2 linked regions of the Anolis sagrei genome follow. The protein of the gene in region 2 purifies or fractionates together with the protein of the main gene of each other region. This does not show direct contact. Links are inferred from orthologs where the notes say so. Each region holds a gene or a part of one and is shown on either strand. Other genes may lie near its edges.

Region 1 (7,214 bases), on a different chromosome or scaffold from region 2:
AGTATGCGTGTATTTAGAGTCAAACTAGCAGCCCTGGAGTAGACAAAGTGGAATCTGTGATGCCCAAAGCAACCACTCACAGACAAACTTTCATTTTACCTCAGCAGTAAATGAATTAACAACCTATCACAAAGCAGCTTTCATTTTACCTCAGCAGTAAATGAATTAACAACCTATCACAAAGCAGCTTTCATTTTACCTCAGCAGAAGAAATAACAATCACAGAGCAGCTTTCCTTTTACCTCAGTAATAAAAGAAAAACAGCCAATCACACAGGAGTTGTCATTTTTTCTCAGCAGTATAAGAAATGAAAGCTGAGCTCTGATTTTTTAACTTTTTAAGCCCTTTCTGCAGTGTTTTTCAGTGTTTTTATGAGTGAAGGTCACTCGTTGGCCTGATAGGTGTATTCACACCTAGCTCCAGCAGGGAAGAGCTCTTTGCCCCACTCCAGCCATTCCACAGATATATAAACCCATTGTCCTAATTCCAACAGACCTCACTACCTCTGAGGATGCTTGCCATAGATGCAGGCGAAACGTCAGGAGAAATGCCTCTAGAACATGGCCCTATAGCCCGAAAAAACCCACAAGAACCTAATAAGAAATACTGTTTACCCACAAGTATAAAGAAATTACATATTATTATTATTATTAAACTTTATTTGTACCCCGCTAGCATCGCCCGCAGGACTCGATACGGCTTACAAAGGCCAAGGCCTCAACACAACAACAGCAAAACAATAACAGTACAATTTAAAGCAAAATAAAAACATAAGCAATAAAAACAATACATCAATTATGCAATAAAAACCAGGGCCAGGCCAGTGATGGGTACAAGTTAAAAAGTGCTGGGTCTGGCAGGTGGTATTTGGATTTCCGGGCAAGTGCAATGTGCAGAGAGTCTTAAACTCTAATAAAGTGCTTCTGGGACGTAGTGCTGGAGATTATCCTATTCCAGAAAGGCACATCGGAATAGCCAGGTCTTCAGATTCTTCCTGAAGACTGCCAACGTGGGTGCTAGTTAGTCTAATGTCTTTGGGGAGGGTGTTCCAGAGTCAAGGGGCAACCAGAGAAGGCCCTGTCCCTCGTCCCCACCAAACATGCCTGTGATGCAGGTGGGATCATAAGCAGGGCCTCTCTGGATGAACGAAGGGATCGTGTGGGTTCATACACGGAGATGCGGTCACGCAGGTAGGCAGGTCCCAAACCGTTTAGGGCTTTGTAGGTAAGCACCTGCACCTTGAATTGGGTTTGGTAGGTAAACGGCAGCCAATGGAGCGCCTTAAATCTCTGTGTGTGAATCATCTATATAAATAAAAATGTCAGGAGGGTCTTGATTTACGTTTTCTTGCCCTGGTGAAGGGACTTGGACTGGATAACCTCAAGTATGGGGGTTCTGTGTGGGAAGTTTGCCCCAGTTATGTCGTTGGTGGGGTTCAGAATGCTCTTTGATTGTAGGTGAACTATAAATCCCAGTAAGTACAACTCCCAAATGTCAACGTCTATTTCCCCCAAACTCCATCTGTGTTCACATTTCGGCATATGGAATATTCGTGGCAAATTTGGTCCAGATCCATCATTGTTTGAATACACAGTGCTCTCTGGATGTAGGTGAACTACAACTTCCAAACTCAAGGTCAATGCTCACCAAACCCTTCTAGTGTTTTCTGTTGGTCATGGGAGTCCTGTATGACCCGGTTGGTTCAGTTTTATCATGCGATTGTAGGTGAACTATAAATCCCAGCAACTACAACTCCCAAAAGACAAAATCAATTTTTTTGAGTGAAGGACATACATTGGATTGTTAGGTGTCTTGTGTCCAAATTTGGTGTCAATTCGCCCACTGGTTTTTGAGTTCTGTTAATCCCACAAACGAATATTATATTTTTATTTATATAGAACAGGGGTCCTCAAACTTTTTAAACAGAGGGCCAGGTCATGGTCCCACAAAATGTTGGAGGGCCGGATTATAATTTGAAAAAAACATGAATGAATTCCTATGCACACTGCACATATCTTATTTGTTGTGCAAAAAAAACCCCACTTAAAAACAATACATTAAAATGAACAATTTTAACAACTATAAACTTATTAGTATTTCAATGGGAAGTGTGGGCCTGCTTTTGGCTGTTGTGATAGGATAATTGTTGTTGTGTGCTTTCAAGTCACTTCAGACTTAGGTAGACCCTGAGCGAGGGCCAGGTAAATGACCTTGGAGGGCTACATCCAGCCACTGGGCCTTAGTTTGAGGACCCCTGATATAGAAGATAGAAGAAGATTGATAAGATTCCCATCCAAACCCAAGTAACGAAGGTAGTATAATCCAATTTAATATAATCTAAGTGCAAAGATGACTGCAGATGCAGATTGTGGCCAGGAAATCAGAAGACGCTTACTTCTTGGGAGGAGAGCAATGTCCAGTCTCGATAAAATAGTAAAGAGTAGAGACATCAGACTGGCAACAAAGATCCGCCTAGTCAAAGCCATGGTATTCCCTGTAGTCACCTACGGATGTGAGAGCTGGACCTTAGGGAAGGCTGAGCGAAGGAAAATCGATGCTTTTGAGCTGTGGTGTTGGAGGAAAGTTCTGAGAGTGCCTTGGACTGCGAGAAGATCCAACCAGTCCATCCTCCAGGAAATAAAGCCCGGCTGCTCATTGGAGGGAAGGATACTAGAGACAAAGTTGAAGTACTTTGGCCACATCATGAGGAGACAGCAAAGCCTAGAGAAGACAATTATGCTGGGGAAAGTGGAAGGCAAAAGGAAGAGGGGCCGACCAAGGGCAAGATGGATGGCATCCTTGAAGTGACTGGACTGACCTTGAGGGAGCTGGGGGTGGTGACGGCCGACAGGGAGCTCTGGCGTGGACTGGTCCATGAGGTCACGAGGAGTCGGAGACGACTGAACGAATGAACAACAACAACATAATCCAATTTAAAGCAGAAAACCTGGGACTGAAGGCCTGTCTGGGAGGGCCTATAGACAATCTTCTTCTATGTATTGTCGAAGGCTTTCATGGCCGGAATCACTGGGTTGTTGTAGGTTTTTTCGGGCTGTATGGTCATGGTCTAAATCTTCTTCTATTTACAAATCGGAGCAGAAAATAAAGGCAATGGAATCCCATACTATTTATGATTATTACTTTAAGGCGGGGGAAGAGGACTGCATAGATCTGGCTGAACCCGCCTACCTCTCACCATAAAAAATACACCTAATGGCGTCTTCGTCTGCGCGTCAAAGAGTCGCTTTTGCGCATTGGAAGCGGCGTTAATTTGACAGACAGCTCCCAAAGCCGAGGATTGGCTGGAGCCGGAGATGACGCCCTTAACAACAAAGGTGGAGCTCGGAAAGTAAAAAAAAAAAAAAAATTTAAAAAAGAGAGAGACAGAAACGAGGAGGGAGGAGGGGAAAAAAAGACAAGCTTGCCTTTTTGGCTTTGGAAAAACGTCATGATTATTAATTTTTTTTCCCCCTCCACAAAAAAATCAAAAGAGGAGTGTCCCTTTTGGGTTTGTTTTTTTTCTTACTAGTTGTTTACAAGTCAAACAAAAGAGGGACCCTTTAAAAAAAAAAGATGGCTCAGTTGCAAAAAAAAACATGTCCGCAGTGGCAGAAAAGAATGGTTTGCTTTGGGCATCATAGAAACGGATCTTTTTCTATCTCTCTTTCCTTTTGAAAAGAGAAAGAGAGAAAAAAGGGGGAGGTCTCAGGAGGAATTAAAAACCCGACTGCAGTGCGTGTGTGATTTGTGATCCCCGCCAAAAGGAAGAAGAGACGGAGAAGAGGAGAGGATTTGTGGCAAATGTAGGGCTTGGCCCCCTCCTCCTCCTCCTCCCTTCCTTCTTTCTCTCTCTCTCTTTTCCCCCCTCCCTTCTGGTTGGAGTACAACAGTGTTGCACAAGCAAAAGAGCAATAAAAACACAAGAGAGAAGCAAAAAGGAAAGGCGGACAGAAGAGCACAGAGAGGGAAGAGAGAGGAGGCGGGGAGGAAGCAGCCAAGATGGGTCCTGCCTTGGAGGAGAAGGAGAAGAAGGAGGAAGGGAAGCAGGAGCAGCTCTGGCCTGAAGGATCCGGATTGGAAGAGAGAGAGAGGAGGGAGAGAGAGAGAGAGAGAGGAGGCAGAGGCAGCAGCAGCAGCAACAGCGAGCGCGATGGAGGCGGGGGAAAGCCGCGCCAGCTCTCTCTGCGGGGACGGGAGCGAGGAGTCCACGCCCGGGGCCAGCGCTGCAGAGCTGGCGTGCAGTCAACCCGCGCTCCTCCGGAAACAACGAGCCTCTCTCTGCTGCCTTTTCCCCGAGAAGCAGGTAAGAAGGCCAGGGGACGAATAGGGGGGTCGGTCTGTCTGGGGAGATGTTTCCCCCCGCGGCAAAGGCGAGGAGTGGGTGGGCGAGGAGGGGAGGGGGAAAGAGGGAGAGAGGAAGGCACGATCCGAAGTGGAGGAGGAGGAGAGCCTCTGCTTGCTGCTGCTGCTACTCCTGCTTCCTCCTCCTCCTCTCTCCCTCTCTTTCCTGCAGCCGGGGCTTGGCTCGCCATTGAGCCGAGGGTGAGCACCGCCATCTGGGGAGGGAGAGGGAGGGAGAGAGAGAGAAGGAAGGAGGCGCTTTTGTTGCCGCTCCGGAGGAAGCAAGCAGGCGAGAAGAAGGGAAGGGGAAGGCAAGGCAGGCGAGGTTCTTGCAGCAGCTGCAAGCAAACAAGAAGGGAAAACAGGCAGGAGAGGCTCTTGCAGCAACGGTAAGCAAACTGGGGAAGAAAAACACAACCCGTTCTTTACTTTTGGGGATATATTGATTCGAAAGTCGGGGGTTTTTTTGCCACGCGGCTGCCGAAAGCAGGAAAGAGAAGGGCCACGAGTGGCGGCCATGGAAGAAAGGCTCTTCTTTGGCAAAGGGACTGAATCGCTTCTATTCTTCCCTAATATAAAGTCTAAAATCTTCCCTTTTTGTGGTGTCAAAGAGAGACTGAACTCCTAATTTCCCCTCTTTATAGAGCCTAAATCCTCCCCCTATAAAATCTAAATATTCCCCCCTTTTCAGAGCCTAAATCCTCCCCCTATAAAGTCTAAATATTCCCCCTTTCCCCACCTTTATGGAGCCTAAATCCACCCCCTATAAAGTCTAAATTTTCCCCTTTGGCGGTGGCAAAAAGAGACCGAACCCACAATTTCGCCCCTTTATCCTCCCCCTATAGTCTAAATATCCCCCCCCTTTATGGAGCCTAAATCCTCCCCTATAAAGTCTAAATTCTCCCCTTTGCCGGTGTCAAAATAGAGACTGAACCCCCAATTTTCCCTCCTTTATCCTTCCCCTATAAAGTCTAAATATTCCCCTTTTTGTTGTGTCGAAAGAGAGACTGAACCCCCAATTTCCCCCCTTTATCCTCCCCCTATAAAGTCTAAATCTTCCCTCCTTTATGGAGCCTAAATCCACCCCCTATAAAGTCCAAATCTTCCCCTTTTTGCGGTGTCAAATGAGAGACTGAACCCCCAATTTCCTCCCGTTAATCCTCCCCCTATAGTCTAAATCTTCCCCTTTTTGCGGTGTCAAGAGACTGAACCCCCCCCCCCAAATTCCCCCCTTTACCCTCCCTCTATAAAGTCTAAATCTTCCCCTTTGGCGGTGTCAAAAGAGACCGAACCCCCAATTTCCCCCACTTAATCATCCCCCTACAAAGTCCAAATCTTCCCCTTTTTTCGGTATCAAAAGAGAAACCGAACCCCCAATTTTCCCCCCTTTGTAAAGTCTAAATCCTCCCCGTTTTTGTTTATTTTGACCCCCGACTAAAAAGGGAATCCTTAAATGTATTTTGGAAGTGAAGGCCACCCTATTGTGCCTTTTCTGTGCAAAGAAAGCAACGCCAATGGGTGCTTATTGGTTTGGGGTGTTTTCTTCCCAATGGGTGCACGAGGGGAGGCGCTCCCCGGGGGGATCTGGGCGAGGAAAGGCCGCGAGGGTAGCGGGAGCCACCCTCGCGGCCTTTCCTCGCCCAGATCCCCCCGGGGAGCGCCTCCCCTCGGTAGGCCTAGCTTCGCAGCCCTTCCGCCGGCCATGCCTTCTTCCTTCATGGCTGCCTGCCTCGCTGCTCTCTCCTCTTTCTCTCTCTCCTCGCCTCCTCTCCTCTCCTCTCCCTCCCGCCGCCCCCCTTCCTCCAGCCGCGGCTCCGATGGGGCTCTTGCTGCAGCGGCTCCTCTCTCCGGCTCCTGCTGCTGCTGCTGCTCCTCCTCCTCCCCTTTTCGCTTTTGCCACAACGAGGCGGGTTCGTCCTTCCTTCCTTTTGAGCGGCGGCGAAGGCAGCAGCAGCCCTGGCTTCGGCTTCTCCCTTCTTCTTCTTCTTCCCTTTCTTTCTTTCTTTCTTTGCGGAGGCGCCCCAGAGGTTGGTTTCTCCACCAAGGCGGCTTGTTTTGGGGGAGAAAGAAGGGGAAGAAGAGGGAGGATGTAGTAAGAAAAGGAGGGAAGGGATTCGGATTGGGAAGGGGGATATTAGAAGGGAATGGGGTTGGGGAAGGGAAAATATAAGAAGGGAATGGGTTTGCGGTTGGGGAAGGGAAAATAGAAGGGAATGGGGTTGGGGAAGGAAAAATTTATGAAGGGAATGGGGTTGCGGTTGGGGGAGGGAAAATATAAGAAGGGAATTGGGTTGGGAAAATATGAGAAGGGAATGGAGTTGGGGAAGGGAAAATATAAGGAGATAATGGGGTTGGGGAAGGGAAAATACAAGGGGTTTGGGGAAAGAAGGGATTTGGGGTTGGGGAAAATTTAAGAAGGGAAGGGAAAATATGAGAAGGGATTTGGGGAAATACAAAAAGGGATTTGGGGTTGGGAAAAAGCTTCCGATTGGGATTGCAAATCGCATAGAGGCGTGTATTTCAGTCGAGAAGAAAGCTCCTGGTTGGAAATAATAAGGAAGGGATTCGGGTTGAGATAATTTGGAGGGGGGGGGACATAGGGAGGTAGTTTAAGGGAAGGGATTTGGGTCGAAATGAAGCCTCCGATTTGGGGAAAATAATATAATATAGGGAAGAAAAAGAGGCACGGTTTAATGGAAGGGATTCGGATTGAAACCAAGTTTCGGATTGAGGTTGAAAATATAAAGATTTCGGTTGGGAATGGGGGGAAAATAATACAATATGGGGAAGGAAATGAGGTGGTTTAATGGCGGGGATTTGGTTTGAGAGGAAGCTTCCGATTGGGATTGAAAATTAATGGGAAAGGGAGGCAC
Region 2 (7,540 bases):
TGTTGTGCTAAGTATTATAGCATTTTGGAATGGTATAGAAAGCTAGTAAAAGTACAAAGGACTACAAAGGAGAGTGGCCTGCAGTTTATTTATAGAATACAGTCACATTGGTCTTAAATGGTACAATATTATTTTGCAATATTGCAATGGAGTTCAAGCTAGGACAGCAGTGGCTACCAGTTAGTTTTAAAAGGCATACTACAGACGTTTTACAGAACTACCAAAACAGAAATATTTTCTATAGGCTATTCATACAAGGTATTTTTCAGAGAAAAAATAGACTGTTTAGATCTGTTATAAAAACAAATTATTTCAACACGAATAATTTTTTGAAATGTATTATTTACATTGTACGCACTGCTTAAAAGCAAATAAATATAAACATTTAAACACCACACAAAAAGTGAGGATTACAGGTTTGCCAAAAGGATTTTGAACGTTTTGTGGTTCAGGAGGTTATATGGATTGGGGAAAATGACCTTGTTCATGATTTTATGGTAAAATAGATCCAAATGCATCAGTGATCATGCTGTTAATATAAGGTGGTGCATGGTTTGCAGGACCATTCTTTTTTAAATTATTTCCTCAATCATGTCCAAAAACATTCTTGGATCAACTAACTTAGAAAAATTGATGTTTACTTTTAGATTAAAAAGCATATTATTTTACTGACACAAAAGCACAGTATGTCACAGCAAATGAGATCTATATGCTGGATTTTGTATCAAAAAATCACAAGTCAAACAATTCCCAAATGTCTAGGACTTTGTGATGTATTTTCGAATGATGAGTGCATATTATTATTATTATTATTATTATTACTTATTTATATCCCACTTTCTCCAAATAATGGGACCCAAGGTTAACTACTTATCAAAATAATACAAGTTAAAAATAATACAAATATGTTGCTGCTACCAAACCACAATAGAGATTTCTGGACAATACTGTTGTCACATGGTAAAAAAAAGTAACTTTCAAAGTTTGCTTCAGTTTTTTTTGTTCTAAAGTTGTTGCTGCTGATGGTAGTGCAGTGCAATAAGTGATGATGGGAAAATGTGCAATGACAATTGGAACGGCTTTTTGACTATGATTTTGGATTGTGTTTTTTAATAATGTGTTTTAATTTTATATGATTTTTAAATTCATGTTTTAATGTATATATTTATTTTATGTCTGTTGTGTATATGACATCAAATTGTTGTCTTTGTAAGGCCGCTCTGAGTCCCCTTCAGGGTTGAGAAGGGTGGGGTATAAATACTGTAAATAAATAAGTACATGGTTGATAACATAAATAGAATTATCTTTACCTTCACACATATCTTTTTAAAACAAAAAGGACATATTATTACTCTATTTTTATCTTTAAAATATGTATAAGCCATTTCAAAGAAGACAAACCACAAAGCATGTTTATTTTTAAATCTGCATTACAGAACTTGTCACACCATATCTCAAAAAACAAAAACAAAGAAATAATCCCAAATAAAACTGCAAATAGGTCTAACACACAAACACACAAGCTATACAGAAGCACAAAGATTAGTGTTTATTGGCCTTAACGAATGTAATGTTCACTCATATTAGGGAAATTATTTAAATTATTTAAACATTCAAGATTTAGGTTGCTGGAAGAACTGCAGATTTCAAAAATATGTCAATATATAGCTTACAGCTTTGTTTAAGAAAAAATGTATCTTCTATTCCAAGCTTCAAAGTACCTTCCAACCGTGGTTTCCTTACCAATATTTCCAAGCAAGAAAAAACACGCTCGGAAATACGCTGATGCTCCCTAAATAAATTTATTCCATCTTATATACATTTACATATTCATTTACCTAGCAGTAAGTTACACTGAGAGCCAGCCTGATATAGTCATGTGAGCAGTGCATTGGCTTTATTTTAGAGTAGAACCATAAAGAATTTCACTGTAAGTCTCAAAATCCATCTACATAGAACCATAGAACAGGAAGAGACTTTGTGGGCCATCTAGTCCAACGTTCTGCCAAAAAGCAGGAAAATTGCATTCAAAGCACTCTCAATAGATGGCCATCCATGAGGATGGGTTTATTTCCAAGTATCATTCCTAGTATCAAACTATAACAAGTAAAAACCCAAAATTGCTGAACAAATTTTTTAAAAGCATCCAGTCCAAATGTCATGCATATTTGATAATATACTGTACATACATATGTATAATATCCAGTTTTTGATTGTATCATTCACATCTGAGCCATCATTTAAATTAGTTAAATTTAATTATGTGAATTTATAAAAAGATCCTTACTGTGGCCCTCTTGAAATGCCTGATGATTGTTAAGTGCAAGGGAGGCAACTGTTATGTAATCTAGAACAGGGCTTCATAAACTTTTTTCCACTCGTGACCCCTTTTTGGGTATATAGGTATATAAAACAGGTATATAAATCAAATATTTACTAATAATAAATCAGCATTTACAAGGCTTGCTAAACAGGCTGACTTTCCTTTTTGTGTACAGCTGAAGCATTTTCTGCAGAGTCCACTGTAAAAACTGCATGTTGTTCCTAACAGATTTGAGTAAATCAGTGGGTGGCATTCAGAAACCTTTTACTGTTTTTGTGATACCAACATCGAGCTAATGGGGTCCCATTTGGCACCCGGACCCACATTTTAGGAAGCAGTGTTAAAAAGCTGGTAACTAATGGTTCAGTTTGTGAAAACTAGTTCATCCAAACCTGCCATTAAAACTATGAAGTACAGTAGAGTTTCGCTTATCCAATCTTCGCTCATCAAACAATTTTGTATTATCCAACACAGTCTGTCTTCCGCCCAGATCCACAGCTGTTTCAATACATTGCGATGTTTTGGTGCTAAATTCATAAATGCAGTAATTACTACAGAATGTTACCATGTATTGAAAACTGTTTTTTCTGTCGATTTGTTGGAAAACATGATGTTTTGGTGATTAATTTGTGAAATCATAACATAATTTGACGTTTAATAGGCTTTTCTTTAATCCCTCCTTTTTATCCAACATTTTCGCTTATCCAACGTTCTGCCAGCCTGTTTCTGTTGGATAAGCGAGACTCTACTGCACCAGGAGTAATAGGGACAAAGATTAGATAATTTGTCAAAGATGTTTCTAAGTTCGTTCTAAACACAAATGGGCAAATAAAAAATACCACAGTAAAGTATTTCTATTCTTTCACCAACATACCCAGTGGCACAATGGGTTCAACCCTTGTGCCGGCAGAACTGCTGACCGACAGGTTGGCGGTTCGAATCCGGGGAGCAGGGGTGAGCTCCTGTCTCAGTTCTAGCTTCCCATGCGGAACATGAGAGAAGCGTCCCACAGGATGGTGAAACATCAAACATCCGGGTGTCCCCTGGGCAACATCCTTGCAGACAGCCAATTCTCTCACACCAGAAGCGGCTTGAAGTTTCTCAAATCGCTCCTGACATTTTTAAAAAAAACCTACACAATATAATTTAATTCAACTTGAGGCTTAAATCCTAGGCAGATTCACTTTTTAATGATGGGCGTGAATATAATTAAGTAGCCTTTGGTAGATAATTGCATTCTAGCCCATTTTAAGAGGCCATATAAACATACACATCAATCTGTCCAGGCAGGACAAATGAACCAGATTCGCATTCACTTTCAAAGAGAGCATTCCAATTACTTGATACTTGCTTGCCAAAATCTGCTTACAGTAAGCGCTGTTTTTTCTTCTTTTTTTTTCTATAATATACTAAGTATATAATTATTTGGCATTAATTTTAATATTAAACTCTTTCTATTCTATATCCTCCCGTTCTCCATTTTAAAATGTAGATGTTACCATATGTATATGACAAGTTTTGTACGGAACAGAAAAGGTTGACATATAATTGCACTTAATAAAGCTGCCATCTAGCCTTGGGAGCACGTAACCTAGACAGACATGATTTAAGGTTTGCAAAAGAATCCCCAGACTAACACTTTGGTGACAGCCAATTACAGACCCAAAACACAGCCTCAGTAAGCTGTCTGCTAGTAGGACTTGAGGAAAGGTAAAGTTTCTTACAATGAGTTACAGATTCACAAGCAGAGGAAGAGAAGAAAAAGAAAAACAGAAGGAATCCAGCAAATCTGAAGCAGACCCCAAGATCATGATAGAGCCCAAAGATGTAAATTACTGTAAATCATCACTGTTGTTCAGAATTTCACACAGACATTTGTGCCAATTCTGGCATGCTTCTCCACGGACACAATTGGGATGGGGGGGGGGGGGGCTAGAAAGAAGAGAAAAAGAGGCAGGGAGAGTATAAACGAAGTTCTGCTGTCCATATGCTTAAACAGCACAGGGGTTTAGGCTGTTTCAGCATTTTGTATGCCCTCCAAATCCTCATGAGTCATAAAATTTAAAAAGCTATATCCTTCTGGATACCAGGAAGGACCTTACCACGGGCCTTTTGTCAGACTTTCAAAAGGGGGAGGAAAGAAAAAGCCACAGTGCTGGGCAGTCCCACTTTACTTGACTACTATGATGTCACCAACCACATGATTCTGTCTCTCCAGTAACAGTGCTTGCAAAAAAAGGGATTTTTAAAGCTTTTGCTTTTTTGGATTGTGTGAATGCTTCATTTGCCTCACAAACAACCACAGAACCACAAGTGCGGTGCAAACTTTCTCCAAAAGGACACAGCGAGAAGCCTTTGGTTTTTAAATGGTTAATCTCAACAGGTCACCAGCAGCCACTGAGACCAACAGAGTCAGTAAGTACTCTCAAACCACAGTCTATTCAGTAATAGTAGATCTGTCTAATATTTGCTTATCCCCCCTCCTTTTTTGGAATTGTTTTGTTTCTTTGCTTTCTGTAGCATGTTACCCATCCTGCAGAATTTTTTGACACAGAAGAGAAATATATGCACCCTGGGTATGCTGTAAAAACTAAAATCAAGCTTGGCTATGGTTTGTGATTTCAGTTTAAGGCTTCAGACAGTTTTTGCACCAGAAGATAATCGCATACTGTGTGGCAGAGGGGAGAGCGATGGCATCAAACAGTCTCTTCGGCTCAGTGACACCTTGTCAACAAAACTTCTTCTGGGGTAAGTGACTGCCAAATGCTATGAAATATTGCTGATACCAATGAACTATGCATTACCTATTTCTGTTTAAACTGATACTGTTGAACATAGTGGAAATAGAACTGTGTATAACATTGTTGTTGTTTTTAAATACCCAGAATAGTACTATTTTACTATGTCTACAATTCCTTGAGCTACAGGTGTGCTCTTCATTATGCAATTCTCTGAATAATCAGGCACCTATATGGAAAACTTACGACTGCTGAAGTCAGCTTTACAAATATAGAGTTACAATGTGGGCCATCAATATTAAACCAACTGAATGAAGGCCCATCAGCTTTTTCATTTATTAAATTTATTAAAATAGGTATATCCCACGATATATTAACAAACTTCAGAGCGACAGAATTCTTCAAATTTGTATCATCACATTGCAATCAAGTCATATAGAAGACAAAATAGACGGATCAACGTAGATCCCGATATTTTGTTATAATAAGAAGGCCCCATACTCCACTGCGAACAATGCATTAGCACAGAGAAACTATCCTTCTTTCCATGTAAATAGATGTGACAAATTTCAGAATAATTTATGTTAAGGATCACAGTTGTTGGCAAATTTGTGTACCTAACCTGACTTATAATGTATCAATTCATATTCTCAATGTTATAAATGTATTTACAAATATACTAAAAGTTAAAGGAAACACATTATGCTCTTCTGAAAAGATTAACATACATACGGAGATCTTTTTTGCAAAACAGAATGATGCAGATGGATGTGATACCTCCAATGTTGCAAATGTTTTTGAAACCTTTGCCAATGCCTCTTTTAAAACAGACGGCTTATAATATCATCCTAGGATAAGACGTAAACTCAGCAAAGGCACTGAATGAATGCAGTCCACGAGGAAAGTTCCCAAGCTGTAAAGCAGCACCTCTAACAACCCTTTGATCTTGGCCATCTAGGATCTGTTTTTGAAATTATGTCAGTAACATATATTAATACCACATGAAATAAAAGACTGCCAAATTTTGTTTAAGAATACATAATACGACTAGGAGTTTTATACAGCAGGCAGCAGTGCTGAGATCTTTAGCTTCTAAAGATACAGTTGTCTAAACCCCAAAGGATTTTTGCCCAGCAGCCAGAGAGGTGTTTTTCCTTCCTTGGAAATACTACAAACATATTTTCAAAAATGTCTAAACAAGATCAACACAGAGACAGAGGGGAAAAAATCAAAACACTTACAATATTCCTTTAACGTTGTCCATCTGGTTCAAAATTATACCGAGGCTGTAAGCTAATAAATTTCCCTTTTTCTTTTAAGGGGGGGGGGGGGGCAACGGGGACCTGATTGATGCTTGAAATGCTTTCAGTGCAGGCACCCACCTTGTCTTCTCTCTTTAGCTGATGGCCGGAGTTCCTTTTACCCCTCCTACTTCACACGTTTCAACTGGCTCTTGTCGAAACATATGAATCTAGTGCAATCTGCGAGCACAATTAGATATGAAGCAAGGCTTGTACTCAGGGAACAGAGGGGCCTGTGTAATTTCTGATATCCAAAGACATTTGAATGCATTATATAGACCTCTGCCTCAAAGCTGACTTTCTGAAAGTTTGTCACACTGAGCTACACCGTAATTAGGCAACCAGCATGCTAAAATGTGGCACAGAAGGCCAAGGCTTTTTAGAATAGCAAGCATTTTTTTCAACCCAAACATCTACTTTAATGAAGCACAGCATAAAGGTAGCCAGACCACATTATTCCAGCGTTTATAACAGGAAGAACAGTTTACACGTACAGGGACTTTCTTTAACATCCAAAAAGAAATAACAAGAAGTTTAGCTGACAAAATTATATCTTGGGTTAACTGTTTAATTTTTCTCCTTTGGGTCATTCTTTAAATCACCAGAAAATGTCTAGGCCACGGAAAAAATCATCCTTCCAAATCTACCACGTTGAAATAAGACTGGCCAAGGAAATGGCCAAACAATAATAAATTTTCAGGTCAAAATATTAATAGCTCTTTACAATTTTGTGGTGGCAATATTTAGTTAAAGGTTAAAGCTGTTTGTTGTTGTTTGGTAGCTGTTTCAAAAGAGTAATATAAATATCTTAAGTCATTTACAGCTAGTATATGTCCATGAAAAGTTCTGATTCATGCCAATGGGAATGCATCAGTTGCTTTACTGTTCCATTCAGCAATCTCTTCTAATCAGCAATGGCTTCCTTGTCGGCCAAATTATCACCTGTCCATTAGAATGAAGACCATTATTGTTGGCTAGTAAATAAGCTAGTAATTTCCACCATTTATATCCAAGAGAGATTTAGGTAATCTTTTTTAAAAATCCGCATGTACTTATGGCAGCAAGTGTATTTTATATCATTTATTTGTAACTCATATTATAAATGAATGCAAATTCAGTATCTGAGGCCTTGATCTAGATTACTTATAATTTAGCCGGTTAATTTATTGTGCAGGTAA

What was found. Proteins that work in one complex are often made in the same cells at the same time.
Region 1: the proteins of RUNX2 (region 2) and UBTF purify together in Homo sapiens (co-immunoprecipitation; 3 studies listed by BioGRID and IntAct, with this or other methods). This does not show direct contact. The link is inferred for Anolis sagrei from reciprocal best matches to the Homo sapiens genes RUNX2 and UBTF.

What each region holds. Positions count from the first base shown.
Region 1 is NC_090026.1:44,540,749-44,547,962, forward strand, and holds the start of UBTF (nucleolar transcription factor 1), read left to right. Parts: upstream 1-4,211; 5' UTR 4,212-4,303; intron 4,304-4,599; exon of another isoform or gene 4,600-4,730; intron 4,731-6,181; exon of another isoform or gene 6,182-6,368; intron 6,369-7,214. UniProt on the Homo sapiens protein: Recognizes the ribosomal RNA gene promoter and activates transcription mediated by RNA polymerase I (Pol I) through cooperative interactions with the transcription factor SL1/TIF-IB complex.
Region 2 is NC_090021.1:148,150,699-148,158,238, forward strand, and holds the start of RUNX2 (runt-related transcription factor 2), read left to right. Parts: upstream 1-4,519; 5' UTR 4,520-4,738; intron 4,739-4,948; 5' UTR 4,949-5,013; coding exon 5,014-5,071; intron 5,072-6,302; coding exon of another isoform or gene 6,303-6,325; exon of another isoform or gene 6,326-6,365; intron 6,366-6,443; exon of another isoform or gene 6,444-6,500; intron 6,501-7,540. UniProt on the Homo sapiens protein: Transcription factor involved in osteoblastic differentiation and skeletal morphogenesis. Essential for the maturation of osteoblasts and both intramembranous and endochondral ossification.